4 linked regions of the Schizosaccharomyces pombe genome follow. The main gene of each other region encodes a partner of the protein of the gene in region 2 in a complex. Each region holds a gene or a part of one and is shown on either strand. Other genes may lie near its edges.

What was found.
Region 1: sws2 (region 2) and rsm25 share a complex: the UniProt entries of both Schizosaccharomyces pombe proteins name them as parts of the mitochondrial small ribosomal subunit.
Region 3: sws2 (region 2) and rsm23 share a complex: the UniProt entries of both Schizosaccharomyces pombe proteins name them as parts of the mitochondrial small ribosomal subunit.
Region 4: sws2 (region 2) and rsm27 share a complex: the UniProt entries of both Schizosaccharomyces pombe proteins name them as parts of the mitochondrial small ribosomal subunit.

What each region holds. Positions count from the first base shown.
Region 1 is NC_003423.3:4,290,396-4,296,795, forward strand, and holds rsm25 (mitochondrial 37S ribosomal protein mS23), read right to left. Parts: upstream 1,568-6,400; 5' UTR 1,294-1,567; coding exon 631-1,293; 3' UTR 501-630; downstream 1-500. Other genes in the region: nucleoporin Rae1, read left to right, coding at 1-77; PPR repeat-containing protein Ppr7, read left to right, coding at 3,202-5,178. UniProt on the Schizosaccharomyces pombe protein: Component of the mitochondrial ribosome (mitoribosome), a dedicated translation machinery responsible for the synthesis of mitochondrial genome-encoded proteins, including at least some of the essential transmembrane subunits of the mitochondrial respiratory chain.
Region 2 is NC_003421.2:979,242-988,919, forward strand, and holds sws2 (mitochondrial 37S ribosomal protein uS13m), read right to left. Parts: upstream 5,914-9,678; 5' UTR 5,751-5,913; coding exon 5,470-5,750; exon of another isoform or gene 5,400-5,469; coding exon 5,225-5,399; 3' UTR 5,003-5,224; coding exon of another isoform or gene 2,308-5,002; 3' UTR 2,251-2,307; coding exon of another isoform or gene 1,970-2,250; 3' UTR 1,905-1,969; downstream 1-1,904. Other genes in the region: yapsin Yps1, read right to left, coding at 1-937; vid21 (NuA4 histone acetyltransferase complex scaffold subunit Vid21/Eaf1), read left to right, coding at 1,879-1,887, 1,970-2,250, 2,308-5,002; P-factor pheromone Map2, read right to left, coding at 6,838-7,443; ura6 (uridylate kinase), read left to right, coding at 9,606-9,678. UniProt on the Schizosaccharomyces pombe protein: Component of the mitochondrial ribosome (mitoribosome), a dedicated translation machinery responsible for the synthesis of mitochondrial genome-encoded proteins, including at least some of the essential transmembrane subunits of the mitochondrial respiratory chain.
Region 3 is NC_003423.3:2,063,705-2,071,159, forward strand, and holds rsm23 (mitochondrial 37S ribosomal protein mS29), read right to left. Parts: upstream 4,287-7,455; 5' UTR 4,235-4,286; coding exon 2,804-4,234; 3' UTR 2,483-2,803; downstream 1-2,482. Other genes in the region: telomerase reverse transcriptase 1 protein Trt1, read right to left, coding at 1-9, 56-240, 282-451, 503-619, 660-929, 969-1,039, 1,079-1,471, 1,508-1,770 and 3 more; ribosome biogenesis protein Rrs1, read left to right, coding at 4,689-5,189; gef3 (RhoGEF for Cdc42/Rho3/Rho4 (Gef3)), read left to right, coding at 6,682-7,455. UniProt on the Schizosaccharomyces pombe protein: Component of the mitochondrial ribosome (mitoribosome), a dedicated translation machinery responsible for the synthesis of mitochondrial genome-encoded proteins, including at least some of the essential transmembrane subunits of the mitochondrial respiratory chain.
Region 4 is NC_003423.3:3,067,086-3,075,262, reverse strand, and holds rsm27 (mitochondrial 37S ribosomal protein mS33), read right to left. Parts: upstream 3,010-8,177; 5' UTR 2,870-3,009; coding exon 2,634-2,869; intron 2,569-2,633; coding exon 2,531-2,568; intron 2,478-2,530; coding exon 2,470-2,477; 3' UTR 2,276-2,469; downstream 1-2,275. Other genes in the region: gpi1 (pig-Q), read left to right, coding at 314-2,275; pyruvate dehydrogenase e1 component beta subunit Pdb1, read right to left, coding at 3,620-4,720; SPOM_SPBC30D10.14 (dienelactone hydrolase family protein), read left to right, coding at 6,518-7,267; snoRNP assembly factor Naf1, read left to right, coding at 7,766-8,177. UniProt on the Schizosaccharomyces pombe protein: Component of the mitochondrial ribosome (mitoribosome), a dedicated translation machinery responsible for the synthesis of mitochondrial genome-encoded proteins, including at least some of the essential transmembrane subunits of the mitochondrial respiratory chain.

The sequences.
Region 1 (6,400 bases), on a different chromosome or scaffold from region 2:
CGCAATTGCCCAATAAAATCATGCTCCACCCTGTTCCGCAAGACGAAATAAAACCTCGACCTAAGAAAGGAAGGTAAATGATGGTAATTTTTAGAGTCTACATAGGTGAGATGGTGACCAATCCTGTTGAGGCATGAGTTTGGTTTTTTTGATATGTATCTTAACTTTTTGTTTGGGAAAAAAAGTGGCATTTCGTGATTCATGACTAAAATCAATTACTGGCAATCGTTTAATATTAGAAAAATTTTTCCTTTCCTGACAAAAAGTGTTATGGGTATAGACGCTATCATCTTCTTATCTATGTTGGCTGCTCAATAAATGATGAACTTTTTTTAAAGCACTTTTAAAAGTTTGGAGCGAAAGTTCGCTAGCTGGCTAAACGGCAGTGTCATCTGAAAAGCTTGCTATAGCTTTGAATAATATTTATAATATATATATATGTATTCAAATAGATGGTAGAAATTTAATGTGTTCTGATAGATTGTTTTAATTTGAAGACATAAAGAGATGAAAAATATCTGTTTTATTTTTGAAAGGGGATAGTACTAAGAAAATTCTGAAAAAAAAAAAAACAAAACAAAAATCAATTTTTGAGGAGACAATATGATATATCAGCTGTGAATTTAAATACTACTGAGTCGTCTTAGAGATATCTACACTCGGGTCTGTGAACTTTGTACGATTAGCCTCAGCGTATTGTGAAGCATTATCAAACCAAGAATTTAAAGCATTTTGATCCATTTCATAGCCCAACTCCAGATCAGATTTTGTAAATACAGCACCCAATGCTTGAGCCTGATCATGGGCAACGCGTTGCTGAATTTCTTGTTCAGCGCGTAGGTGATAAAATTCCTTTCTTGCTTGATCATAAGCATTTTCTACAGGCATGTTAGAGTTTTCAATCAGCCATAAAGTTCTTTGCACTACACTCTCGCCAGATAATGCTTTGCGCGGTTGATCCATGTGACTCCAATCACAATATTGCTGATCATTACCGTCATTTTCTGCAATGATTTGAGGCCTTGCTAGTTCCCAAGGATGATCTCGATAAAACCTTTTACGGAGTTTATCTTCTGGCCATTGAATTTCCTGAGGCTGATACATTGATTTTCGTAACCGTTTACCACGGGATTTTACCTTATTTGGATCGTACAATGGTACAATACGTCTAGCATATTGAAAGGTTGGGGGATGTTTAGCAACCGTTTCGTACCATAAAGACTCTGCTGTCCATGGCTTTTTCATTTCAGCTGCAAAGCTGCGTAGCAAACCATTTGCATTAAATTTCGGCATTGGATCTTCCTCCTGAAAAAGTTATTAAATAGTATATTAGTAAAATAATCAGTAATAGAAACGTGAAAATGGAAGTAAGGATTGAATAATGATTGAGATGGGTTAATTATGCAAAACACATCCACGGCGCTATAAATAATGGAGAGTATGACTTGAGGTAATAAACAATCGCTTATATGGATAGTCTGCTAAAAAAGTGAATTATAAGCGCAAGAAACCAACTTTTTTGGTGAAAATGGCTTCCAAGAGGAATTGGGCTGGCCAAGCTAGTGTTAGCTGACGGTACTAGTGTGCCTCATCTTAGTAGCTACTGAGTATAACCTAATGGTAAGATATTATGAATATTTATTTCAGAACACACAAGGATACGAACACTATTAATGAAATAGTTATTTATAAATTTAAACACATCTATTGCCTTTTTTTTGCTAAGATATGGCTTGTTTGTAAATTCGGAATTTAAACTAAGCGATTGTTCATCTAAATTAATTTTATGGATTGAAAGTCCCTATTATTTTTTAGATATTTTTTTTATAATTGCTAAAGGTATATAGAGTTTATTGCCTTTATTTTTTTATATTTTTTTATCAATCGTTAACGCCATAGGAAAGCAAGTTAAACTGCTTAAAAATTTTTTAATACTTAAAAATTTTTTGTTATGGAATAAACTTTTTTTTTTTTATACTTTTAATTTTCACTGATTTCATTAAATATTTACCGGCAGCCGTTAGAATTATTAATAACAATGGTTCAAAAAACTCCAAAAAAATTTTAAGATTAATTAGACAAAATCAATTATATGTTTCGTAAAGCAAATTAAATGGCTGTACTGTATTTGTGAAGCTGTATGCGTATTTGCTAATTTGATTTTGTCATAAACTGACTGAGTAAATTAGCGCAGCAAATGCCGCTACACCTAGCATGTTCTGAAGTGAAAATGAAGTGCTGCAAATATTTAAAGCCATTGATCGTACAGTATTATTATGAATGGACATCAACTACTTGAATTCTTGCCTGCTCATACATTTTTAGCAGTTATTTTCATTTCTTCACTTATAACGCAGTCATATTTATACTCCGTATTTGATTTTACCTGCTAGCTGGCAATCTCAATGCTAGAATACGATATTCGCTTCTGGATGATGAGTGTTATATAACCTAGGTAAGGTTAATCTGTAGCTTATAACGAAGAAGTAAGGTAAATAGACTACACTTGTGTTCTTTGACGAAAGTGTATTCGATGATATTGTAAATGCTGATTAAATACTAATGAGTCAACAAACGTGCCTAAATGCTGGTTGCATTCAATGCCATTCCTATATATGATGATGGCCGATTGATCGTTATTCATTAGCGATTCTTAAGAGGATCGATGAATGATAGTTTAATAGTTTAGAGGGATATTCTGCATTTAATTATATTAAGGGACCTCTTTTTTACTCATGAATGTTCTTTCCATGTTTACACAATAACGAGCTATTATAACAAAATAACGTAAATAAACTATAGCGATGGTTTCCGTTAATTCACTAACGCTGCCTGTTAATGAGGAAATAGCAATCTTAGGTTTTGCTTAGAACCCAACTTCGCAACGTTGGAAGGTTTGCTCAGTTAGCTGTATTTATACCACCTTCTGTTTTTTGGAAACCTTGGATGAAATGTTTAGATGCATTATTGAGCCTTTTCGCACAGTTTAATGTTTGAATTATCGCATCATATAGAAAGGGAACGGAAGTATATGCATCATCTCGTATCGAGTTCTCGTTTTCTTTTTTTATCAAGTACCCCCTTCTCTCATTAATAGTGATCCTTTTAATTTGATTATCGTTTCTTTTCTTCATAACGCGTCTTTTCGTTTCCACGCCTCTCGTTTTGGGGACGACTTTTGTCTGCTTGCCAGGCTAAGAGATGCGAAATTGTGTATCTCCACTACTTTTTGCATGGACAAAACATTTACGTTTAAGGGAATTTAAAATCCCTTTCCCAAATCGTCTTGTTGTGCGGTCACTAAACCAGCTTAGCGTTCATCATGAAAAGGTAACTGGGTGCAGGCCTCGACAAGCGTCTTCTGATGAATTACATAAATACTCGAAATCTGCTTCAAACGAAGCATTTCTCTCAAGTTTTGCAGAAAATCAATTATTTCACAAGTGTTTGCCTTCCAGCGCAGGTGCTGTTCTTAGTGAAAACGATTTAATGTACATTATCCGAAAAGTCAGTGAAGTCTATGCTGATAATAAAACTGAAAAGGTTACTGTGCCTTTTGACAAACATAAAAACCCATTCCTAATTTACGTGAAAAAACGGTTTGCCGAATGTTTTGATAAAAATCCTGATCTTTGCCTCATTGTGTATTCAAAACTGGAGGTTGAAACGTTGGCAAAAATAACTCCCATTTGGATTAATGTCGCCAAAAAAAATAAAAAAGAAGATTTTCTTGTTGAACTCTGCCTCCGTTTTTTAGAACGATTCCGTTCATGCAATTTGACTGAACAAGCAATCTTATATCAAAATTTTCGAGAAAACTGGTGGAGTAACATTAAGTTACCCCAAAATCTCAAAAGTCTGTACGTTGAATTGTGTTTGGTGTATCATTTCCATAATTCCCATCTTGGGATGGATTCCTCTACAGTCTCTAATTTAAAACGCTTCTGCTTCTCAGAGTCATTAGGTCATATATTTGCTCCTTTGAGATTCCAAAATCAACAGCTTCCTTTGCAACACGTTTATGCGTTTTTGTTTTCCATAGCATATCGTGATAACCAAGTTGATACTGCTCATTTTCTTTATAAACAGTGGTCTCGTGCAGGCATGGGACCATTGCCAAAAGATGCATTTATAAAATTTGTACAATTACTCTCAAAAAACCGTAATTGGGTTTTAATGCGCGATATTGTTCAGCTGGAAGAATACAATAGTTATCTTCTCGACCATCGAATAGTTTCGGCATTTCTTAAACCATTATCAGAAAAAGGTAACTACAAAGACATACTGAGTCTGATTTCAGTTTGGCAGCATTCTGTTTGGCGACCTTCATTGGCGTATCTTCAAGTTGTTTATTCTTTTTCCATGCGAGCTCTACTAGTTAACCGTCAATACTCTTCTGCTTTTGCATTTTTCTGGAAAATTGACCCGTATATTCGAAACGAACGTTTAGTGTCTCAAATGTTACAAGCCGCAAGTCAGCTTCATTATCACGATTTAATTTTATACGTTATAAATACCTACTATTCTGGTAACATTATGAAGAATTTGGGCAACAAAGATTTGATTTGTATAACGCAAAGTTCACCTCCTTGTAATATATCTGGAATTAAGCCGGGAAGCTTAAAGTTGTCTCCAACCACCAATACGGTTTTAGCGAAATCGATTTGTTACTGGCTGAACGATGCCATGGCTTTGCTTTTTTTATTAGAGAATCAACTAAATTGCAAGCATTCCCTCTTTCAGAGAAAGTCTCTTATAATCCTCTTGAATGGTATTCTCAATTGCCCTCATTCGTCGTACGACCTTCAATTTCGTGCTGTGTCTCTCCTAACGGGACGTATAAGGCTGAATGTCGATTTTGAGGTCTCGGTTTTGGCGTCCCAACTCGTTTTTTTTGTCAAACATCGAGATTTTAAGCGTACCTTAATTACCATGAAAGCTATATCCAAGTTGCAAAAAAACTTTGACGTTCGAATATGGAACTATTGGCTGGTTGCCCTAATTCAGCAGAAGCTTTATTCTAGAGCCGTTAAAGTGTATTCCAAACTTATTTGTTCTTCCGCAGTACGAAATGATACAACTCGCTCTCTGATTCGACTCATTCCCAAATCGTATTTCAAAAGTTATCCTCTCCTTAAAGAATCAGAGACCGAAAAAAAAACAAATTCTGCACTTTAACTGCGTAATGTTTTTAAAAGTTCAAGCTTTTGTGAATTATTAACTTTTATTATTAATTTCTCCACTCTCTTACAACACCTTGATGTACAACATTTCCTTGGTTGTTGATTTCATGATAATTTGCCAAATGATCCGTTCATTCACTCATTCTGCTCTTTTTTTTTCCGCTACTTTTTCTTTGTTCAACAAAGATGTTCCGACGAAACTCAAACCAACTTTTTTGAATCCCTTTCTCGAAACCATCCTTTTTGATGCAAGTTATGAAAATAAAATCATCATTTTTATCATCACGTTACATAATTTTGTCCAATTCATTTGGTGAAGTTGGTTTGCTTTCTAGTTTTAGCTAAACATATTTGTATGCAAACATCATCTCAAACATTTGGAATACTTCATAAAATTAAAAATTCTAGAGTTTTATGTTTAGTTGCTTCCCTTTTTCAGTAGTTTCTATGAGACCGCTACTACGAGTTGTCCAGTGTATTGTATTTTAACCGTAGGTAGCCAACTATTATTATTCAGCCACGATGGAAGTATTTGTTATGACAGGATATTAGCAGCCTCAAATCATGTACAAATTATTACATTAATAAATGGATACTACGAGTAAGGCTTCATGATGTGAAGTATTGTTTTTATCGTAATTGAATCATAATTGTTACTGCCACGGTATATACGAGTTGAAAATGAATTATAAAGATGCCGCCTTGATGGTGTTAAAAAATCAAATTTAGTAATCAGCAACAATACACTGAGCTGTGCTACAATACTTTGAATACCACTGAGCCATACTTTCGCATACTAGTAAATATCAGTTGTTTTGGTTAAGAGTAGCTGTCAGCTTAATTAAAAAGTTACCAGCTGATATCTGATACTACAAAAGATTATGAATAGAGCTACAAGTTAATTCGCTCCCTAGTTCAGTTATAAGCTATTTTAATTAAAAGTACAATATAACCCCAATATTAGAAACCTCTATAACAGTTGTTCCTAATAGTATCTGTGTACTAAAATATAATATGATCACAAGGAAAACTCACTGCGATCCTACGTATCGTTAAAACTGATACCGAATTTGAGTAGCCATCATCAGCTGTCAGCAATACTACACTACGCTATGATATACTACGTTGCGTATCACTATAGATCATATGTTGGAATACTAGCTAAGATCCGTTTATTGATAATCATGGGTAACTATCCGTCTATATACATAGATACC
Region 2 (9,678 bases):
AATAAATATAAGTTTCACGAGTTTGAAAGTATGCATCAGTGATGATAGAATAATTAGAAAAGAACGTAGAGTTTAAGAACTGCACAGAGTAAATGGAAACGGCGTAATGCGTAAGCTTAGTCTGCTTCAAAGCGACAAACTGTCCCTGGTACTTTGACGTATCCACGGCTCCCAAAAGTAAACTTCCATTACCCTGATTATCCAGATACATACTAAAAGCAGGGTATGCCAATATATCCTCTTTAACTAGTTGTTCCAAAAAGGTTGGTGGTGAAAAACTTGAAATGGAATCCGAATAATCTATTGAATTAATTTCGGTACTGGCAGCTAAACCTAGCACGCCTTTGTACGGCAGCATTGAACTGGGAACATACTCCTTTAATGTGATGCCGAATTGGAAGTCCGGTAAAGCTTGATAATGACTGTAAGAAAGGGAGTCCTGAACATTAATTCCAGCAACTGTAATGTTATCGTCATAGCGGATAAAAAAAGTGCTTGGACTCGTAACAAAATGGAAGCTAGAAGATGCATTCCCAAAATAACAAGAATCACTTTCTTTTTTACAAAGAAAGTATCGCAGTTCATCCGTACTCCACTGAGTACCACTATTCACTATGCCAAGATACGCTGGATTAAACGCCATTACATTGTAGTAAGTCAACCATGTGTACGGCATGTCCAAATCTATAGCTACAGTGTACGAAATACTCGGACGACCGATCGAAAGGGTAGTAGTGTAGTAAGTGTAACTCTGCAAATCTAAAGGAAATGAAGTGATACCAGATGGAGAATAAGTATAGTCACGCTTCTCTAATTGATTTTCCTGGTTGGGAAAAGTTTTCGCAACGAAGTCCAAAGCTAAAACACCATTTCCCGTATATTGTAACGAAGAGACAAGTTTAATGAAGGAGAAAAATATTAAAATCCAAATCCTCATAATCCTTAAATAATTAGAAGAAAATATAGATGCAAGAATGTTTACATAGAGGTAAATTAAAATGACCAAGGTGATTATCAGATAAAAAGAGAAATAAAGAATAAGAATAAAGTAATATGAGAAGAAGAAATAAGAATATGCAAAACGGAACTAAAACAAAAATGCAAAGTAGAATAAAGAGCAGGTGCCGAGTTCTTTTGATGAAAGAATGTTTTAACGAAAGCAACGATGAATTGTTATTATCCCTTGTTATGTTGGGAGCAACAATTTGGCAATCTTGCTTTATAAAGAAAAGAAAATCCACAACAGAAAGTGGAAATAATCCTCAAGGGATGAGCAATAGATGCATGTAAAAACCAAATGCAACGCAAAAATCTAGAAAAACTTGATCATAAATAAGAGTCTTTCACAATTCCTAGCACGTCGTAAAATAATAAATACAAATTGAAAATAAGGGAGAAATAGATCACTTAACGATAGTTTTTTTAGAATGATATGATAGTAGGTTTGGCATGTAGCTCAACTGAATGTATTTTTGAATAATTTAAGTTGAAAGGGAAACGTTTTTAAAGCTTTGAAATATGCCGATAACCTTTATGGTAACGTCTCAACTTTTAAATAGAACAAGCGATTTCTCCGAGCAACAAAAAGACGAAAATAAAAGACAGTCTTATTGCTGTACTTGTAGTTCAAAACTGTGTCCTAGTAGAGTGCTATTTCCTTGTTTTTCTACTTCACCTAATATGGTGGTTGATTGCGGGCTCAAATCCCTTGGGGGGCCTCAACACCATCAGACTAACTTCGTTCACATTAGGTCTGAAAGTATACAGGATCCTTGAGTTCTTTATATCATCATACAATAAATATAAAAGCAAAACTGTGTCTTTTCTAGAATACGATTTGTATGCTTTTTCCAGCGTAATTCCGCTTAAATTGGGATTATGAAACAGGTACGTTTTTACGAGTCTTACGGGCCTTAAAGTGATAATTTTATTGTACTTCGATAACTAATTAATATTTTTAATTAAAAAGAAGGAGACCAAAACCAGTCAAATTGCTTTAGTCGATGGTGAAAAATTATCGATAACAGATTCTTTTGCCTCCCTTTTTACTCTAGACGAAGAAGAAGAAAACGACTCTGTAGACAATGAAGAGATTAAGTTAACAAAAGAGAAACATGAAAAGTTACTTCTTTTATTTTGGTTGCATTGCAAGTTTCCTAATGGATTAGAATGGCTTCATTCATCAAGTGATCTTTTACCAGAGCAAGTTTCTGAGTGGTTTAACTTTTATCAAAAGTATCGTTTTAAAAGGTATGTCTCATTGAGTAACTTTTTGTATTTTCCTCAAATGTACAACTAACATGCAAGGGGGCGAAATTTTAATCTTTCAGCTAGAGAATCTGTAACTCCTATCGTTGAAGAACCGATAGTTCCCGAAGAACCCGATAATTTGGAAGGAGTTTCAGAGGAGACACCTTTAAAAGAAACTTCCCTAGAACTTAGCGAGGAGGAAATTATAACGTCAAAATCTCCCATACCTTCACCTGAAACTATACATAAAAATATTGACGTAGAAGAGAAAGAAACTATTGAACCAACAACACCCGTAAAAGAAGTGGAAACCACTGCTCATGCTGAAGAGGAAAAAGGCCCTTTGACGCCAGATAGCGAGTATGCTGCTCGACAGCTTACCGAAGAACTTGCAAACAAATCCTCTCAAGAAGAAGGAGTCGATAAGCAATTAAGAGTGGTTGAAGCTACCGAAAAGGAACATGAGGAAGATGGGAATGAAGAAAATGTGACCGTTACCAAACCGGTAGAGGTTGCGACTGATCAAGTTGAGTCTAAAGAAGTGAAAAAGAAAGAGGTATCAGAGACAACGGAACCTACGGCTCCCCCTGTCACTGTTGCAGAAGTTTTGGAAATTGAAGATAAAGTCCCAAAGGTTGATGAAGTTGAAGAAGTTCATTCTCCTGAAGCCAAGGTCACTGAAAATGATGTTGAGAATGTACAATCAGGTATTGATATTGAAAAAACTATACAATTATTAAATAATCAAGAGATTCCTTCGGAACAACAAATCATTTCCGTTGACAAGGCCACTGAATCTCCTGTTCAGGAAGTAGCGGTTGATGTCAACGAGAAGCCAGTAGATGAAATTGTTGAGCCTAGTAAATTACAAATGGAAAATAAGTTACCATCGGAAAAATCCCCTACAATTGACAGAACTGGGGTTGAAGCTCCGCTTTTTGAACTTTCTGTATCTATGCCACTAACTTTAATTCCTCCTTCAAAATTTTCTGAACCGGTGAAACCAGAGCTTTCCTCAGAAGCATGGCTGCTTCGAACAGAAATGTCGCCTTTACATTTAAGGTTGAAAAATGCACATAAATATGTTCTATCAGATAACTGGTCTCATGCGTATCGCGAGGAAATTGTACGACAATCACTACATCATTTAACGGTTGCAAAAGAAAAAGGTATTTGGTCCTTTAGACAGCCCAAAAGACAAAACGAGATGCCACGATTGAAAACTCATCGGGATTATGTTTTGGATGAGATGCAATGGATGTCAATTGATTTTTCTCAAGAGCGTAAATGGAAAATTATATTGGCTCATAGAATGGCGAATTGGGTAATGGATTACCATCAAGCTAGTGATAAATGTACTGTTTGTACTCCGGCTTCGTTGTCAAAGAATAAGAAGCCGTACATGCAAGAGAATGAACATCAGAAAGACTCTCACGAGGAAACGTTTAATGAACAAATAGTGAGCCATTTTAATCTAAATGATAATAATAACAACAAAGTGCTCTCTATTCCCAGGGATTCTTTACAGTTTTATAATGCTGTTTTTTCGGATGATATATTTGTGACAACAAACTCCGAACAAATTCAGAACTGCGTTTTAAACGTTCCTATGTACGGTCCTCCTACTGAAAACAATGAATATTGTGAAGAAATATCTGAAAAGTACCCGATCACTCCTGTGTCACGTTTTGCATATGCCAAAACAAAGCTTAAATCCACCTGTGCAAAGGCTTCTAGGAAACGTTTGTTCAACCAATTGGAATTATCACCACCTGAGTCGTTTATGGAAAAGAAGGCGAGAAGCGATGAGAACCAGCTAGATGGAAATAAAATTAAGGATGATAATCAGAAGCTATCCTCAGTAGGAACCTTTAGTGTGCGGCCTCCGTATCCGCCTTCTAGTAAAGATATTCGTCCAGAAGCCCCTTGGTTGCCCGAAGAAGATGAACTCCTTTTATTACTCTTGCGACGATATTCCTTTAATTGGGAATTTGTTGCCAGTAGGTTAACACCACCAGGTTTGTACATACCGCTTGCCGAGAAGCGGACTGCGTGGGATTGTTTTGAAAGATGGATTCAAGTGGATCCCAGAGCCGCCAATGTCCAATTGACTGGCTCCCATGCAAGACTCGCTCAGCAGAAATTAGATGAATCCTTAAGACATTCGGATAAAGTTAGCCAACATCTATCCTTACGGGATGAAGGAACACCTAACCATTTGATTAAACATAATTCTTACTTCTTATTGCCAACTGTATCAAGACATTACCGACCCATTACTATATTTGAAGCTATACGAAAGATCCTTAAAAAGAGAGAGTTTGCTAAAAAACCCACTATGACCAAGAGAGCGATTGCACCATCTGCAGCTTCAACTGAAAAATTGCCGCCGGTTCCTTCCCCTCTCGAACTTTCTCGTTTGAAATCTGAGCGTGAGGCACAAATACAGCAAATACAGGCTCAGAGAAACTTTGCACAATTGCAATCACAAAACAGGGCTCTACGGCCGCAAAACGCCGCTGTTGCTGCTGGTGCACAACAACACAACCAGCAACTAGCAGCCTTTCAAGCTGTAGCTGCTTCACAAAATAGTAGTAACAATTCATCAGCGGGTGTCTCGCCTATAGCTGGTAGAATGGTCCCCAGGCTTCAGCCATACGCTGTTTCCAGTTCTTTAAAACTAACACCTGAACAAATTCATCAGTTGCAGCAAAGGAAGCAAACTGTACCTACTACTGAAAGGACACAGTAAGTATCGCCTCAATGCAATTTTTCGATTTATTGTATTTTTTTTGAGTGCTGTTGTATATTAGAAGGAAATTACGAGGCGAGAGCTTTTTCTCTCACACAATAAAAATAGAATACGTTTTCATTTTCGTATCCCGGTTGTTGGTTTTTTAACAGAATCAAGCAAATCGAGGTAATACGAAGTGTACATGATAAGTGAAGTTTGATTTCATAAACGTTATTTTAGCTAATGAATATGTTTTAATTTTTGAAAGACAGACACCATTCTCGGTAGACAAAAACTCCATGTGATGGGCCTTGTAGAAGCGGGCGACAGTGTCATATAACCTCGTCGTGGGACTTTGTTTAGCTTCTTAGCAGTCTTTGCATTCGTCCGAGTGTTCTGTCCATTAACGGGTAACCTGAAATATTCATTAGTTAAGTTGAAAAAGTTGTCGAAGACAGCTACGTTCACAAATGATCTTTTCATACCCGTTTACATGTCTCATTCCCCGATAGCATCGGATATTCACCAATCTTGAGATATCAGCATTCCGTTGACGCCGTAAGTCACCTTCAATAGTCATTCCTGATAGCAGTTGCGACAACGTTGTCAATTGAACATTTGTCAGCTCTCGAACCCTTAACGTATTGTGAAATGATAATTTTGCGCATATTTCTTCAGCCTTGGCATGTCCAATTCCATAAAAAGAAAGTAGAGCAAACCGCACAGGTTTATCGTCGTTTACAGCCACTCCAAGTATGTATACCATGATGCAAAATCTCAGATATCAACAGATGAGACAGAAACCAGCTCAATAATGAAGTGGACAATTTGGTTTTGTAATTCAGTTCTCTATCAGTAATCAGAGAGCTTAAAACCGTTCTGAATATAAGTATTAGGCTTTCTTGTAAAAGAGTGGAGTGGTGGTGTTTAGATATAATACACAGTTGGATCTCTCATATTTTTAGAAAACTAGTTAGATTGTACAGACTCCGGGCCTAGTAATAAAAGACAATTTGAGTAATCATTAAAGAGCTACTATCTAAGGTGTAATTTGATGTTTAAGAAGACCATAAATAGGGCAAGGTAAGACGAAGAAAAACAAATAAAGAAGAGATATCGTCAAAGGCCTTCCTTTTCTGTTCAAATTTTAAAATTTATGAACTCAAATGATCCCTTCGTTCAATGGTCTCAGTTTAAAATTTATTATTGAAAAATATATTCACGACATTACTGTCTCTTACAAAGTTGAATGTTCAACAGTACATGCGGAAGTACAGTAAAAAGTTTTGGAATAAAATTTTATATATTCTAACAATGCTTTGCGGATCTCAACTGTCATATATATTTCAAGTGCAGCTCCTTTACATTGCTATGCTTGTGCAGGTCCTAGGCATTTTAAATGAGCAGTAGCTTTCCGCATTTCAATTGAAACTTCAGTGCTTTCTTCTTATATGGGATATGACTAATTTTATCGCTTAACACAATTGGTAGTGTTCATTTTTATTATTACTTAAGCAATCCGCAAATCATGTGGTTTAATAGTCAGTTTTTAAATTGATGTTTTATTTAACTTTAAAAAACAAAGCAACTGAAAGAAGTATAGTACTGTAGATTTCAGTAATATTGTAACTACTATACGTTTTTTCTTTTTTTTTTTTTTTTTTTTTTTTTTTTTTTACAATATGAAGACTAAGATGAAAATTAAAAATATTATTGCGAATAGGAATACAGATCGTATGGTAAAATAATAGATCGAAAATAGCAATTAATTTAAAAAATTGCTTCACATGGCTTTGTAAAGATGTGTGGGCTAACATACTAGAAAATAAAAAAAATATGAAGATAAAATGAGTTTAGCTCTCAAATTTGGCAGTAATATTGACATCTGTAATAGTGGAATTCTCTGGGACAGTCATGATATAAAACTGAAGAAAGCGATAGTATTCTTCATCCTCTTCCTCATTCTCTTCATCTTCTTCAGTGCGCTTTTTCAAGTTGGGTCTGTCAGGATTAACAAAAGTGTTCCAACTTTGGTAAGCACGAAGGAAATCAGCATAAGTTTTTGCGGGAGCAGCTTCGAATTCGCGCTTTTTCAAGTTGGGTCTGTCAGGATTAACAAAAGTGTTCCAACTATGGTAAGCACGAAGGAAATCAGCATAACTCTTCTCTGGGGCAGCTTCAAACTCACGCTTTTTCAAATTGGGTCTGTCAGGATTAACAAAAGTGTTCCAACTTTGATAAGCACGAAGGAAATCAGCATAAGTTTTTGCGGGAGCAGCTTCGAATTCGCGCTTTTTCAAGTTGGGTCTATCAGGATTAGCAAAAGTGTTCCAACTTTGGTAAACACGAAGGAAATCAGCATATGACTTGCTAACTGAAACCACACCAGGATCGGCAACTGGAATAGGTGAGGCAGCAGCAAGTGAGAATAAAAGGGCAATGACAGCGGTGATCTTCATAATGTATGTGAAAAAAATAAAATTTCGTTGATAAGTTAGAAAAAGAAAGATAGTTTAAGCGATGAACTAGCAAATAAAAGAAGAAAATTATAATTTGTTGACTGATTCAAAAAAAGGGAGAGTTTAAAAAGGCAAAATTCCAAAAGAAAAAGGATTAAAAGATTAGAATAAGAAAGATCGAAGCAAATTTACAGAAAATTAGCTAACGGAGCAGGTTTGTTGACAAGAGGGATGTAAATTCACACCCAACGCGAGTTCTTGTAGAGTGAAGAATAAGAAATAGAAAGAGTGAATATGTAAAATAGAAGACTTGAACGAATTCTGGTTTTCTTCTGGGACAGAATGCCTGTATTTATACATCTTTGTAGTGCTCCGTTTCCCTCAATTCAAATCTGGAATTCTATGCTTTCAAACTGTTCATTGTTGACATTAACCGCCATTTTTTAATGACTTCCCCGTTTTCGTTTTATCGCTGTTTATCCTGATTGGTTGAAGATATTCGCTTATTTTTTTGTCGTCCACCCAAAATGAACTTCTATGTACAGCGACCAATCAAAAGACTTATTAATTTTAAGCGACTTTTTTCTGGTAGCGGCTATTTTTTTTATTGGTTAAAGGTTTTTTGATAATGTAAACAATAAAACTCTATCCATTGTTCTTTGTGTGTACTCAACCAATAGCATACCGCCATAGAATGAAAAAATGAACTTCAGATTGAAGGCATAGAACGCCTCTGGCTACTTGTAGCAGATATAGATACTGCAAAGCAACTAAAATAGAGCTTCAAAGGAGATGGAGCACGCAAAAAAGAGGAGAATAAACAAATACCCGTTCCCCTCCGACTAGTGGGCCAGTATTTGGTGTACTAGATATTGTGCACGGAGAAAGTACAAAGGATTGCCGTTGCTAGCATTTAATTTCCAAGGAAAGGATAGTAATATGATAGTAGGAAATTGTTTGATACCATTAGTGCTTTTTTTCCCTCGAACATGAGAATCAGGGCTTGCTAAAACCATAGTAGTGCTAGTTCCGAGAATCCCACCTTTTCATTATACCTTCAAAAAATAAGAGTACATTTCGAAAAGGTTTTAGTAAAAGGATTGGTGAAAATAACGAATAAACTGCTGCTTCTTTACAGCTTTTTTAATTCTTTTCGGCGTTAACATGCTTCCTTTCGTTCTAAAGTCATATAACCATATCATTATACTAATAAACTGTTTAATATAATTTTACTCCTTTATTATGACTTCGCGCTATACCATTGTATTTGTTAAATTGCTTTAGCGCGTTAAATGGAAAGCATTGATCGCAAAATCCAACGTTTGCAATACTTGCGGCTATAGACTGGAGATGATTTAAGAATTGGTGTAATAAAAGGATTCTGTAACTCATGGTAAACGCTTCTCTAATCTGGGATCTCGATACTCCTTAGCGACATTTTCAATATAGCAAACATGCAACAGAGATATTCATTTATAGGTTGGATGCTAGATCGAGAGGTTCTTATTCATACATTGTCTTGAATTTTTTAATTTTATGAAAGAAAAAAAAAATCTTTTTTTTCTATTCTGCTCAGGGCATGGGCCGCGGTTATTCCGCGGCCCATCCATATGTTTTGGCTCTTCCATCTTAAGTTGTTGGTTGCGTTTAGATTCGTGTTCAAAGTTGCTTACAACATACTACTGTATTATTGTACGAGTAGACTCCATATACTTCAACAGTACAAAGTCTCCTTGTATATTAATTTGTTTTAGCGCGCTTTTCTATTTTTTTACTGTTTTTCCACTCAGACCATAAATTAAATAGGTATGTAGCGTAAATGTCGAAATTTTTTTCCTCTTCCATTTTAGTGCAAACGGATGCCTTTTTGAAGACTCATGCTGAAAGAAACATGAAAAAGTTAATTCTCCAACACTTTTTTACCCGCTCAAATAGTGTTTCACCTATTTTGCAAATCCTTATTGGTATGGGTTAGTGTGTTTCTGGTTGCGTTGGTTATTGAGACAGTAATTTCATCGTTACATTCTTTAAAAGGTTTTTTTTTTTACGACTGTGACACAAACGCGTAAACATTTGAGAAGAGAAAAAAAAAGGAACTTGTGTGCTCATTTCATTCCTTATTTTATAACCAGCATTCCCAATTTACTAATGTGTTGTAGACAATGTATAACGTGATTTTTGTTTTAGGCGGTCCTGGTGCTGGAAAGGGTACACAATGCGATCGTTTGGCCGAGA
Region 3 (7,455 bases), on a different chromosome or scaffold from region 2:
CCATATCAACTAAAAAAGAATTTGTTAAAAAATTCCAATGAAAAAATAAACTTACAATAGGAAAACGCCTCACTAACAAAGTTTTTTGTAGCTCGGTCACTTGTTGCATGTATGGTTGCATACTTTCGAATTACAAATTCGGGATCCTTGAGTTTCTTTTTAACAATCCGAAACATCAAATCTTGCTTTATTCGATCATAACAGGATTTTATATCTATCCGTACAAAATACTTCTTACGCCTGCAAAATTAATAATGAGGAATCGCGCATTATATAATTACCCAAACATTCGGTGCTTAAGAAGATCCTTCTTAAAAGTAAGAAGCTTCATGTAAACCTCCAAGTTAAATGGAATACCACTACTTTCTTCATTGATTAAATGTTTCAGTATCGATGCCACAGGTCGTAAAGTTTGGTTCGTACTGACTAACATTTTTTTGTTTGAACCCATCTGCTAATAATAGATTAGAAGTAAAGTACATTGATGACCAAAAATTAATACCTTTATTAAGAATCTTTTTCTTAAATTCGTAATGAGACGAAAGGTATTCTTCTTAGGTAATAGACGAATAACTGCTGGAGGCAAAGTAGTTTTCTGAGTATCCATCCTAACATTGTTCTGAAAATATTAGCTTTTTGCAAAAAATACTTTAAAATACCTCGTTTATTTTTTCAAACGCTTCCATTTTCATTGATGTAATAAAGGGTCGGCACAAGAGTTTCCAAATATCTTTTCTAAAATAAACAGTTCGATTTCGTAAATCACTTGATTCAGTGATATAAAAAAAAGATTGTAAAATAGGTATTATAAACGAATTGTATAGCCAGTAGATGAATTCCGCAAATATTTGCTTGCGTTTCTCAAAATCACTTAAGCACATTTTCGCATTTGACCTTTTTCCAAGGACTAGCCATTCAATTTCTGAAATCTGATTGTTAATTAATGGTAAAAAAATTTGGCATATTACCTTTATGTTACTCATTAAATAATGTAAACTAAAAGACTCGTATCTCGATAATTTCAAGAAAGTTTCGAGGTCTGGTAAAATCGTTAGTGGTAATAAATTTTATACAATACCTTTTAATATTATCTCAAATATCCTTTGGTTACCCCAGATTAATTTAGGAAACACTCGAACAAGAATGGATCGAAGAAACGCAAACACCTGGTTCGGCTTTAAGGAATAACTAAGGATTTTTTCATCATCGTGGGTGTCAATATATGGGCAATAATGGTTGTAAACTTTTGATAGAGAAATACGATGGAGTCGCTTTGCTGTTTGTTCAATTAAAGGGTATACCTTTAGGAGACGTTTGGGCACAACTGTACTCTGTGATACCAGTGGAATCACTTTGTGCAATTGCTTCACTTGAAATGCGTTTATAAGTCCAAATTGCCTTGGAAAAATCCATTGAAGCCACATGTGTACTGTGTTCCGATCACAAATAGAGTGTAAGTTAAAATATAGATCTAAAATTAGTTATGAAGGATAACAGTATTAGTTACCTTGCTTAAACTTCTTATAGGATGACCTGTAAAAAATGCTAAACCTACTAATTGAAATGCTATTCCAGGAAACTTCTTTGCGGGCGCTTTTATTTTGAGTAATGGATGTTTCAATGGTTCGCTTTCTTTTTTTTGACACAGTTTCCTCAAACACATTATTTTTAAAAAGTGGTATGCCAGAAATCTGAAGGTAATTGTCATTTGGAAGAGCCTCAAAAATACTTCCTTTGGATAATAAGTAATGCATGGCATCACTGCCGATACTATACTTGTCAGTCTTGTTCAAAGTGCGCAACATCTTAACCGGTATTTACATTTCTAACAAAAGTTGCCAATTTTTTGACTCAAGTATAGATATAAGGTAATTAGGAAAAGTAGAAACGAGATCATTTTGTACTCCGTTTACATGCATGGCTCGAAAATCTTCATGATTCTTTATCGGTTAAATACAATCTCTTTGAAACAGTAATTGCAGGTAAATATTTCACAATTAGAATACCTTACCATGGAAAACCCTTTCATCAGTAGATTCCTTCGACGCTCAAAACTTTCATCGAACATCTGTTTTACAACATTCGCTATTAGCTGCCCATATATTAGCTATCCCGAATAGAAAAAAATCAAAACAAAAATATATATACCTCTGACTGTGAGCATTTTGGAGAAGAAAATTGAACACCTTCATCTGGCTTACTGTCGAAGCCGACTACAGTCGAATGAAGAAAAATAGAAAAGGACGTTTGTACATCGCTTCTCAAGCGTTCGCATATATTGCTATACGAGCTTGCCGGCGACCCTCTCAAAACAAGTTGTACATAATCATTTAAGGTACATAGGTATACATATTGATTCTCTAGAAAGCGAAGAATCCTGCTTTTGGGGGTATGGTGTTCGGTCATGCAAGTTACAAGTAACCATTAAGCATAACTATATATATGCAAAGTGTCCTACTGATCATAACGTTTTAAATAAATAGTGACCGCAAATATTGATTAATATTTATAATTATAGGATTTTTTTTATATAATGATAGCTAATAAATGTTTTGCAAAGTATCTTTAAACTAATAACATTACACGAGTAGAATCACCAATCTTTCTACTACTATCAATTATAAGCGAAACTAATTTAGATTATTCATTAGGGGGAATAGTGAAAAAGGTACGATTCCAGGAGTAAAACGGAAAAAAGCCTAATACGAGATGATACATATTTGGAACAACATGAGAATAGAAAATAGAAAAATAAAACCGCGTTAAAGGAGTTGTAGTGGATAGAAATTTTTGAATATCTCAATCATGCTAGACGTGTGCAAGCATCAAAAAACTTTCGCGGATTACCACCACTAAGGACATGATTTTGCAAATAATTATCAACCTTTTCAAGGCAAACGTTGGATGATACCAAATACTCCATCATGCGACGTGACTCATCTAAAGTGTAAGGCTCCATGTTAAGAATATGCACGGACTGTAATGAATCTAATATAGTCTCATCAGAAGATTTGTAAGGATTTCTGTGAGCTACTCCAAGAGCTATATCCAATGACGGGGTAGAAACACGCGGTTGGCTAGAAGTAGCAGCTAAAACAGTACCACGATTAAAAGTAAGCGAACCCGAAATATATTTGAAAAGTAAATTAATAAAGTAAAAGTCTTTAGGGGGAAGGAAGTTGTTCTTTTTGTCCTTATACTTGGTAACGACCGATAAAATAGAAATATTATCGATCACTAATAACACCTTCATATTGGAATTTGACTTGGTATTGTTATTGAGTTCTTGTAAAAATATTTCCAGAGATTTAGGAGCGTTCGAGGAAGCAATTAGCTTATGAAGAAAGGAAAGTAAATCGGTACCAGCAGGAATGCATTCGTTCTGAAGCAACTCATGACTTTCAAAGGTCTTTAGCTTCTTAAGTTTATCAGAATTAGTTTTCATAACAGAAGTTAGAAATCCCTTAATTAAATCTGGTTGCACCCACAACTTGAGTTGCTCATCATAACCATAACTACTCGTTGAATTTACCCATCCTTCGCAGTTATGGACTGGCAAGACTATAAAATTAGGTTGTGATAAGGCGAAAAGTTCAGCTTGTATGAGAGCAATACTTCTTCCTGAACCTGGAGCACCATCAAGAAGAAAACGTCCGTCCTTCGTACCCTGGTCTTTGGAGCGCTGCAGTACATTCACTAATTCAGTTGTAATTTTCCTGTGCAAAAGGGAAGCACTGGTAAAAAAGGAGAAACTTTTTTTTTGTTTTTCTAAAGCCCCAAATCCATTAAGTTTATTAAGCAATTCCTCGGGGATTTTAAACATCTTACCTTCAGACTTGCTGGACCAAGACATATGCGGATGAATTTCAGAGGGCTTCACCTCTTCTAAAGTATTTTCTCCTTCATTTAAGAGATGATCCAATACAACGCTACTATTGGGAATAGTCGTCGATTTCTCTACTGACGAAGTTGAGGGGGGAATTTCATTAATTCTTGGCGCTTCCGAATTTTTTTGACGCTGCTGGTTAGAGCTTGAATGTATATTTCCTCCAACAGGTCTACCCGTATGCTGGTATTGTGAGGATGAATAGTATTTGTTAAATGTGCATTTTTCAAAAGTGTAGAGTCCTCCCAGTTTACTACCGCAAACAGTCAGTTTTCCACCGGACAGGATATTAGAAATTCTCTCTGTATTCTTAATAATACTACTTCTGCTTCTAAACTTCGGTAGCATTTTGTTAGAGGTATTTTTTTCTCGTAAATCTTAAGTATACATATCTGTTCTCACGTAAATGAAGAGACTGACTGCTTCCGGATGGTAAGTATTTACTGAGCTCTTAGCGCATTGCTAATATTTTTTAATAGGGTAGATTTGGCGTTCAGTAATAAAGAGAACTAACGTATTGCTAATAAGTGTCTCTACTTTTGCAAAAACTAAAGAATCGTAAAAGTTTTCTTACTTTCTTCGTTTGTCATAAAGAAAGTAAAAACAGTAGATTGCTGAACTGAAAGAGAGCTTTTTCTCTTATATATTCAGTAGTTTGATAAAAATTTTGGAGTTTGAAAGAAGAATTTCGTATCCTGAACCAACTTTTTAACAAATCAATTTTGCAGTCTTTTTTGAGAACTTTTTGTCACTTAATTGTATTATCAACCCTTTTTTTTTCCTTGTCCCTATTTCGTTAATCATGTCTGCACAAATAGAAAACTCCATTCCTCTAGATTTCGATTTGGGAAATATGGCTGCATTTGATATTTCTCCCTTAGATGAAACTAAGCTTAGCGGTTCAGAGAAAGAATCATTCCTTTTTTCTCTCAGTAGAGATAACGTTCAACAATTGGTGAACAAAATGATTTCCTTGCCTAAGGAGCGTACATCAGATGGCGTCCTTTTACAGCTTCCTGAAACTGTTACACCTCTTCCTCGTGCTAAACCTTTACCTAAACCCAAGCCCGAAACCAAATGGCAACGGTTTGCTCGTATTAAAGGTATTGCTCCTAAGAAGCGGGAAGGCAGGTTGGTGTTTGATGAAGCATCTGGTGAATGGGTACCAAAATGGGGTTATAAGGGTAAAAATAAGGAATTAGAGACACAATGGCTTGTTGAAGAGGGAGAAAAGGAAAAGAAGCTTACTTCCAAGCAAGTGAGAAATACCTCAAAAAAAATCAAGCGCTCTCGTCGCCATTAATTGGTCCTGCTTAAAAAAAATTTTTCTTAATTTAAAAATTTACTATAATTTAGCTATTCATGGGTTAAGTGGTATAATATCATTTTTATTTTGTTATTATCGTTTGTTTTTGTTTGCTACAACTAAAATCCCTTCTTCAATTGGGATATCAACGGGTACAGAAGGAATATGTAAGACATCGGTTATGTGGCTGCTTTGTTTACACATTTTTATGTGTTAAAAATTAACGAGCACTTTTTTGAAGCTGCTACTCGAAAATCGAACGTTAAAATGTTGAATGTTTACGAGTTAAGTGTAAAGTAAGTTTTAACAGCAACTGTTTTGATACACTGTGGGATTTCCTCCAATTGAATTTTCTAATAACCTCTTGTAAAAAAAGTTTCATACAGTTAAAATGCGACCATATCGTAGTTAATTATTATTTTCTGTATGCAGTCTTAAAAGGCTGGAACATCATATTAAGAGCCCAACTCATGGCTAACTGATATGCAACATTTTTGAAATGTTCAACAAACAGAATTTCATCAGACTCAACAATAACAATCCTTTCTAAATTACTATATAGATTGCAACATCAGTCTAAATATCTGAATGCATTAGTGGTGTAGCGGTAACATTGGAGCTTCCCATGCTCTAGCTCCGGGTTCGACTCCCGGCTGATGCAAATATAGCTGTGAATTTTTAAAAATATAATTGTTTATGTTCTAAAATTGGTTTTTGCATTTTCTATGAATGATATACTCAATCAAAACATATCCTTTTGAGTGGTAAACATAAATTTTTAGTAGATTATATAAATAAATGTGCAAGCCATACTTCAATTTCTAATCATTTTTAAACCGAGTGTATAATAAGTTTTCTAATACTGACTTGTTTATTTAAATATTTAACATAATAATTAATTTTGATATGAGATTGATGCTTTTAGTAGTAATAATAAAAAAAATTTAAAAAATGCAAATAAATAGAAAAAAAATTAAAGAAAAACTCATTAATCCAAAAAAAAGCTTACCAATATTATCATTTGTTTCTCGGTTGGCTACTTCGTCGATTTTATGGTGTATATCATTAATTTTCTAAGTATTGTTTACGTTCGATATTTTAAGCAAATACTTAATGCATCCCCAAAGACCACTAGTTAGTTTTAAAAAATAAGAAAAGAAAATAATTTATGTACAAATAACTTTGCTTATGTTGATAAAGTACAATATCATTGTAGTCATTCTTTCAAAAGCGGAATTCTTTCCTATATCCACTAAGGTAACCTGGTTATTCTTGCCGTCCGCAACAACAAAGAAAACAGCTATTCAACTATTTCATTGATAAAAGCGTTACTCTTTGGATTAAATTAGCATTGTATTTAAAGAAGAAATCGACTCATCAACGGCCTTGCTACTCTGTTTTAGCTTTGTGAGATCTAATCAAACGCGCTACGAACTCCTAAGTGCCCGCGTTTGAGTAGATAACTCATTGAATCAACAGCCGATTAAAGATGAGTAACCCAAGGATGTTCCAAAGCCGTGGAAAAAGAGTTGTTTCAGATAGCTTGCCTATAGCCAATTCGACACACACTTTAGAAGATACTTTGAAATTACGGCCTGACTGGACCATAGCGTTAAGTCAACATGAAACTGAAACAAGGTCGACAAGAACTAGTTGTAGCACTACCACAGAATCGACGATTGCTATGAGGAGTAAACAAAAAGCCATTATTTCTGTTCTGGAGGAATTTCGTGATTCAGAAGCCGCTTACGTTCATGATCTGCATGTAGCTCAACGGTACTATGCTGACCGATTATCGGACCGAGTAAAAAAAAGCGAATGGAAAGATGTGTTTGAGATTTTTCTGGTATTGTGCAAGCAAGCATCACTTTTCGAAATCGAAATGCACAAATCCTTGAACGACGAAATCAATTACATTTTGGATGATCAAGATGCCTGTTTGAAGCCTAAGCCTTCCGTTGCACAACTATTTCTTTCATGGTTGCCCAAGCTATCTGCTGTCTATGGTCGATACTGCGTGATTCAAGAAAACATTGGCAAAAAGGTGGAAAAATGGATGAAGAACTCATCAATCTCAGAATATTTGCAGGAATGTGATAGCATGGCAAAAATTGAAAGTAACTCTTGGAATTTAGATAGTTTTTTAGTAAAGCCTGTGCAGCGTTTTCTGAAGTATCCGCTTTTACTAAATCAGCTTTACCGATCTGCTTCACTGGGTATCATTTCCGACTATGTGTTGCTCGGGGAAGCTTGTCACAAATCT
Region 4 (8,177 bases), on a different chromosome or scaffold from region 2:
GTTCCTTCATACGTACTACTGTTTACCGTTTTAGGATTTTTTATTTTCATTCTTTTAGAACGAATCGCTGAATCCGAAGCTCGTAACTCAACGTCAGTTAGCGGTGGCATTTCTGCAAGGGAACAGCTTTTACGTCGAGGAAGTTTTTGATTTTACAACTTGAGTTCTAAACACCGGAGAGAGCAGTATCATCTCCTGTTATATTTTTCTTAACAAAAGTTTTTTGTATGCTTCTAAAGTCTGTTATTACTTGTTTGTCTTTTTTATTAAACACTTCGGAATTGACTTCAGAGCATTCAATATTATATTTCAAATGTCTACCACAACCATGAATATAGCTTCGGCTCCAATTGAAGTGAAACGGATATATTGGCCCAAAAGTACGATCTCTTATACCGATTCTGGTTACTTAGTTGGTTGGAAGTACTCTACCAACGATCTTATCGTTGTGACAACAATTACTAGTTATCAATCCTTCGCTAATTTTTTAGTTGATTATTGCAAAAATCAAGATCAATCAGTAGATATTAAATCTCTGTGTATATTAGGCACGTTTAATTGCTCTGCCGATATTTTGCCGGGTGACAAATATGAAATTGATTGTTGGATCAAAGTGCAGCAATCGACTGAGCTTTCTCATCCCCGAGTTTTCGATTCGGCTAGTACGCCTTTAAAAATAAATCTGCATATAATTTATTATCATCCTCCGCAGCCAAGAAAAATGCAATTTCTTTCCCTTGAACCTCTATCGCTTTTATTGTTAAAAGATAGTTTTATTAACAAGTCAAACCCTGAATACGAAAGCATGCAACACCAGCAAATACTGTTAAAAAAATTGAAATTGCACTTTCCCCGACGCAAAGAAAATAGCTGGAAAAGGAGTCTACGCTCAGGCTTAATTGAGCTTCTTAATCAATCCTTCGAGGTTCGCATGTTAACACATGAAAATAATAACAAAAAAAATTCATATGTTTTTCGACTTTTTGATCGTGTCTCGTCATCAACCTTTTATTTTTTTAATTCGCTGTTTGCTTACTTTATCATATTATTGAGGATAATTAATGAGGTTATACTCTTGGCGATTAATTACCGACCGATTCCTTTATCTTATAATATGATGGATATTTTCGTTTCTGCTCGTCAAGTAGATTTGAGGTTGCAACAAGCGTGTTTTTGGCCTGTACAATATATGAAATTATGGGTTTTTCGGAAAAGCAAGCGCGTTGCGATAGAGGATTACAAAGAATATATTAGATTCTATAACAACCTTTGGTTGGTTGCGAATGACATGATCTTTGGGATTACAATGAGTTCATTTATTTTAGAGAATCTTCATCTGGTGGTAAAATTAATAGAAAATATCACATTCGAGTATGCGATAAAAAACGTTCGTTCTATGGTTATATGGCTCGTGGATACTCCTGCTGGATTAAAACTAAACAACGACATTTGCAAGTTTATTATGAAGCTTTCTGTATGGGTTATTGACGTATGGAGTAATTTTCTTTTGCATTGTTTGCCTTGGACTCCATTTTTGGTTCAAGTTGTCGCTATTTCTGGGTTTGGGGGTGCTAGTTTAATGATCGCTTTAATTTCTGATTTTTTAAGTGTTATGACTATTCATATACATTTGCTTTATTTGGCTTCATCACGTTTGTATAATTGGCAGCTACGTGTAATTTATAGTTTGCTGCAGCTTTTTCGAGGAAAAAAAAGAAACGTTTTACGAAATAGAATCGACTCATATGAGTATGATTTAGACCAACTACTTTTAGGAACAATCCTTTTTACGGTACTAATATTCTTCTTACCTACAATATATGTTTTCTATGCAGCATTTGCATTAACACGAGTATCCGTGATGACATGCTTGGCAATCTGTGAAACTATGTTAGCCTTCCTGAATCACTTCCCATTATTTGTTACAATGTTACGAATTAAAGATCCTTATAGAATACCAAGTGGGCTGAATTTTGAGATAGTCAGCTTTGAACCATTAAAACAAGACGGCTTCGCAACGCTATATCTCAATTGCAACTCCAAACCGATGTCTCTTGGATCCATGTTTGAGCATTATCGGAAACTGGCGCGTAGGTTAATTTCGCATTACCTTTCAAAAACTACTTTGATTAGTTTGCTCGTAGGTTGCCCAGTTCCAGCGATACCTGCTGAGCAACTCTACAATATCCAGTACGCTATGCTTCCGACCAAAAGAATATCTATTAGAAAACTGCGAGATCTTCTTTTTCATCAGAAAAAATTTCCTTACGACTGATCAAAATGTTAAGTATTGTTGCACACAGTTGATATATAATATTTTTTGTTTATGAAACAACAAAATTTTTATAATTAAACTTAGTTTATCAGTTTCGTTCAAAGCTGTTTAGCCGTTACCCATTTGATAATAATTGGAAAGAAAATGTGCGAAATGTAACCGCAAAGTATTAGAAAGGCACAATTTTCAATTATTTATTTTTCTAAACAGGAGTTAGAAGGTTCCTAATTCGGTTTTATAGTAAGCTTTACATACTTTTTGACTTGGAGGCTCCTTTTCCTTGGCGTATTCTCCTAGTATTTTAATTAGCTAATTTCTTGTGAAAGAAACATTCAATCTCAATTAACAACTAACATACCCTTTCCTGATTTCCATTCGCAATTCCTCATCACTATCGGGAAATGTTTTATCATTTAAAAGGGTCCTTAATTGACGATAATTGATAGTTGCGGGATAGTAGCTCTTCAGTTTTGCTCCCTTCAGCTCTTGTACTACAAATTTGCGACCCGTTCTCGAGTTGTTTGATTTATACTGAGTGCCAAATATTTTTGATGAGAGAATATTTAATTCTTCCAGGATTGCTTTGCTAGCCATGATTTTATACCAAAAATTAGGGAAGGCTCCTAGGGAATGTGGTTGCTTAAAGTTAAAGGCAAAACGAAATAAAAACAACAATAATAAGGCTAAAGACACTACTATGATTTCATCTGCAAGGATTCTGAAATTCTGTTATTGTAAGTATTATTAGCGCAAGTCTACTTAGATATACTACAGCGGATGATGTGGGATAAGTAGTTCATCAACCCCACATGGAAACATTTTGGTGCATTGACTAAAGATAGACCTGTAAATAGGTTTAGTGGGATCAAGTACTTAATATTCTACGCTTTAAGAGGTTACGAGTAGTTAAGTAGAGTATAATAGACACCAAATAGTTGAACATATTCATATAGCGTATTATTTCCATTAGCTGTAATATAATATAATTGAAGTTCACTGGCTTTCAGATTACGTTAAAAAACTTACACGAATTTAGTAATATATACAATATAACATATATTAAGGATAAACGAAGCAAAACTATCCTGAAAGGTAGATATACCAACCCGGATAACCAATTGGAAAGATGGTTGGAAAAATCATATCTTCGCAAATAATTGCAAAGAAATTAAAACCATCTAAGACCCACACACAATAATCTGAGTCATTAAAGACAAGCATCTTAGATATTTACACTTTGTAGATAATGTAAAAATAATAGAAAGCGAAATACGTAGATATCAACTATTCGGAAAAGGGAAAAGAGCGGGTTTTATTAAACAGATGACTCAACAATTGAGCTTGTTATTTAATATACAAGCATTTTTTAGCAGCAGCAACAACAACATCGGCATTTGGGACAGAAGCAGCCTCAACAGGATGACTATAAGGCATGGGAACATCTGCCATACTTACACGTTCAACAGGAGCATCAAGATAATCAAATGCGTCAGACTCCATAATTTGAGCAGCAATTTCACTACCAATACCATGTTGACTATATGCCTGGTCAACAGTCACAATACGATTTGTCTTCTTAACACTGGCCGCGATAGTATTGATGTCTAAAGGACGAATACTACGCAAGTTTATAACTTCAGCTTCAACACCATAGTCAGCCTTGAGCTTGTCAGCTGCTTCTAAAGCAGTAACAACAGAAATAGACTCACCAACGATGGTGATATCTTTACCGGGGCGCTCCACCTTAGCAAGGCCAAAGGGAAGCACAAAGTCCTCGCTCAACGCTTCTTTCGAAATTGGAAAGGTTTTACCATAAAGAATTTCGTTTTCAAGTACAACAACGGGATTAGGATCACGAATAGCAGCCTTCAACAAACCACGAGCATCTTCTGCTGAGTAAGGAGAAACTACTTTAAGACCAGGGATACTACCATACCATGGAGCAAAGTGTTGAGAATGCTGAGCAGCAACTGCAGCGGCAGGCCCATTAGGTCCACGGAAGACAATAGGACAAGCCTGAATACCACCAGACATGTACAGGGTTCTGGCGGCCGAGTTAACGATATGATCGATAGCCTGCATGGAAAAATTGAAAGTCATAAACTCACAAATAGGACGTAAACCAGCAAAAGCAGCACCTGTTGCCAAACCAGTAAAACCCATTTCAGTAATGGGAGTGTCGATAACACGTTTAGGACCAAACTTGTCTAATAAACCTCTAGATATCTTATAAGCACCATTGTATTGCGCAACCTCTTCGCCAATCAAGAAGACACGATCGTCACGTTTCATTTCTTCTTCCATTGCACTGTTCAAAGCATCACGAACGGTCATTTCCTTCACTCCATTGGAAGAAGAAGAATAGCGCTTTGCGATGGTTGAACTAAGAAGTTTCCAAGAACGACTGGTCCCAACAATTTCACCAAACTTTTGAAGACGAATCATTTTAAATTCCCTCAAACTTCTTTTTAACTTCGTTAAAAATTAGGGCTATCCCGCTGTGTTGTTGTATATGTGTAGTGGGCAAAGTAGAACAGTGTGATGGTAAAATATTTCGAGTTGGCTTATGGTACAACAAATTAAATACAGTACGTAGATGATTAACAAGAATACTACCACTTTTATAAATTTTGTGTTTATTGCAAATGACAAAAGAATGGTTAAACAGTCTGATATGATTATAACCTCTTAGTAGTATCATTTGTTTCATCTTATTTTTGCTAAATAGTGAAATGTGTACATACTGAAGCAGCTGCAATAACGTGCTTAACCGATAAAGATAATTTGTTATCACTAGATACGGTGCTCAAAATTGATTGCCGCAATAGATCGTTTGAACTCCTAAGGGCGATATCCGAAAAGCAGAGCATAAACACCGACAAAAAGGTGATGAACGAGAAGTTAAAACAGCCTAAAGTTGTGGTTCAAATTGATGCATAATTGCACGGATTATTGATTCCGGTGCATCAGTGACTATGAATTTTGAAGCCCTCAAATATACTTAAAGCATTACTTTATTTTCATAACAGTAAATTCATCACCATATGATTTGTACTAGCCATGTAGAGATAAAAGCTGCTTTGTATTATGATAAACTACATAATTCATTAGCGAAAATAAAAGTAAACAATTTCGTTAGCTTGACATGGAATTTTTTTTATTTAATGGTCAACAGCATTGAGTATAAACAAGCCTTGAACCAATGTATGGTTTCTGATGATTAAACCAACAACAGATTGAATAGTTATAGTTGGAAATTGATGAAAGAAAGTTCCTTTTTTAACTTCGGACTTTTTATTGACAGTATTATTTAAAAGTTATATTTAGTACACGCGTTATAAGGGTTTCTTTGGTACGCGAAGTCAAAAAATTATTTCTTGCATTATTAAAGATTGAAGATAGTTTTATAAGCTACAGACCAATATTTAATTTGCAGTTTTTCACATTTTCTAAAGACTTTAACAAAGGTAAGGCGTTTTTAGAGATAAATGTTCAGACATAAACTTTTCGACAAAAGTACATAGCTTAACTACTTAAAGTTTTCCTGGTTTTTTCCGCCTTTGACGTTCAATGAGACCGTAAATTCATAATTTGGCATGCTACAATCCTCTTTTTACAATAGATGCAAACCAACTGTTGTAGACTTTTAAACGATAATTAATGATTGCAATCCCAACTAATAAATGTATGTCCCGTGTATAGCATCTTTGGTAGGTATTGTGTCATAACTGCAAGTTTATTATTTCTCATCTAAACAAACCGACTCACAAACTTCTCAGAATATATGTTTGATGATAGAGGAAAAAAAGTTTACTTTGTATACTTGTTATGAATAGTCATACGCTGTATTTTTTTTTCTTTTTTTTTTGGATAACACTTATGAAGGACTAAAGCATGCGGCCGTAAGATATCATGGATACACAGTGTTTATGTGTAAGCATTAATAAAGAAAATAATCCGCTTTCAATTTTAATACTCGCGATACATTTTGCAATTAAAAAGGATGTATATTTTATTAATTATAGTCAGTGTTTATTTGATACATAATATTATTTTCCATGGAAATATAGAGAATATCGTTATAATATATGCAATGCCGATTTTTGACATAATGTGTATGATATGATATATATATACAGCCAACAGTACTGACGAAATTTCACCCAACTTACCATTTTATTGTGGTTTTTTAATAAACTTGTACAGTTACTTTTTGTACGAACCATTGATTAATTTAAGAAAATGGCCTCTTGCTGTCCAACAAGTCGTGGTGCCGCAGCTTCTAACAAGTCCTATACCTTTAAGGGTAAAGAAATTGAAAACTTTGGAGGATTGACCACCTATGTTGTTGGATCTACTTCCAATACCCGTGTTTTGATTGGTTTCATGGATATATTTGGTCTCTCTGATCAAATTAAAGAGGGTGCTGATAAATTGGCAGATGATGGCTTTACCGTCTACTTACCCGATTTCTTAGAGGGAAAGCCGTTGCCAGTTACTGCTTTACCCCCTAAGACGCCAGAGGACCAAAAGTTATGCAATGATTTTTTTTCTACTAGAATTTCTCCTAATTTGCACTGGCCGAAACTTGCTAAAGTTGTAGAAGCTGTGCGCGCTAACCATGGACCAAATGTTACTATTGGCACTTATGGATTTTGTTGGGGTGCTAAAGTTTTGGTCACTTATCCCGCTACAATTGATTTCGTTGGAATTGCTAGCTGTCACCCTTCCTTCCCTGATAGCGCTGATGCAGCCAATGTTCATTGTCCTGTATTGTTTCTTTGCTCTAAAGACGAAGATGCTAAAATCATCAAAGAATGGGAAGAAGCGTTCAAGACAAACCCCGCTTATGCCAAGTCTTCCTTCGAAACATTCAGCGACATGTTCCATGGTTGGATGGCTGCTCGCGCAGACCTTTCCAACCCCGAACAAAGGAAGCGCTTTGATGAAGGCTACCAAAAGGTTTCTTCATTTTTCCAATCTTTAATGTGAGTTTGATGTTTGTTAGATAGTCATGATTTGTTATCGCTATTGATTTTTTTTAATCCAATTATTAACTAATGACCTAAACTATTCGATACAGTAGCTGTACGCTTTACAATACAAACAGGTGAAGCTTCCAATATTCACTTAGGCTGTAACATATTTTGAGGTTTGCTCAACCTAGATGCCTTAGTACTGTTTCCTACAAATTTATATGTTTTTTAGGATCGTGAACAAAATAGCTTTTAAAATCAGTTAAAAATTTTAGCCACTGTTATTTTTTTGCGAGTAACTCTACGCTTCACTGCCTATGATATGTTGCATAGAGATGAATTCATTTTGTATTAGTTTTAATTCTAATATTTAGTTTTATTTCTATTTATGAATATAATGTTTTTATTGTATATAAATCAAATTTTATTATTTACGTCCTGCTAACTTAGTCTCAGTATATTCTGCCAAATCCCGTAATTGAAAGCACCGAAAACTTTTTCGAAAGGCGTTTTTATGTATCCGCATCTCCCTTGTAAAATACCAGGGCTTTCGTTGATTTATGATGATGAATCGAAAGTTGAAAAATCGAAGCAACTGTCTACAAACGCAAGTTCATCAAATTTTGTAAAAGAAGATCAAATTCCTTCAAATTTATCTATCGATAATATCAATACCCCACAGGGCGACCCAATCGATAAAAACAACTTGAATACTAATACTGAAAATAATCTACCGAACATAGTTAACTTTCAGAATATTTCTTCAGCGAATTCTGGCGAAATTAAGCAAAAAGATAATGAAATTTTATTTTCTTCAACAGAAGATATAAACCAACACAAGGAAAACTATCAAGATGAGAACAAAATCGACTTATTGGATGTTGCATTGGCTAACCCAAAGGATTGTGTTGTTCCATCATCAGGTT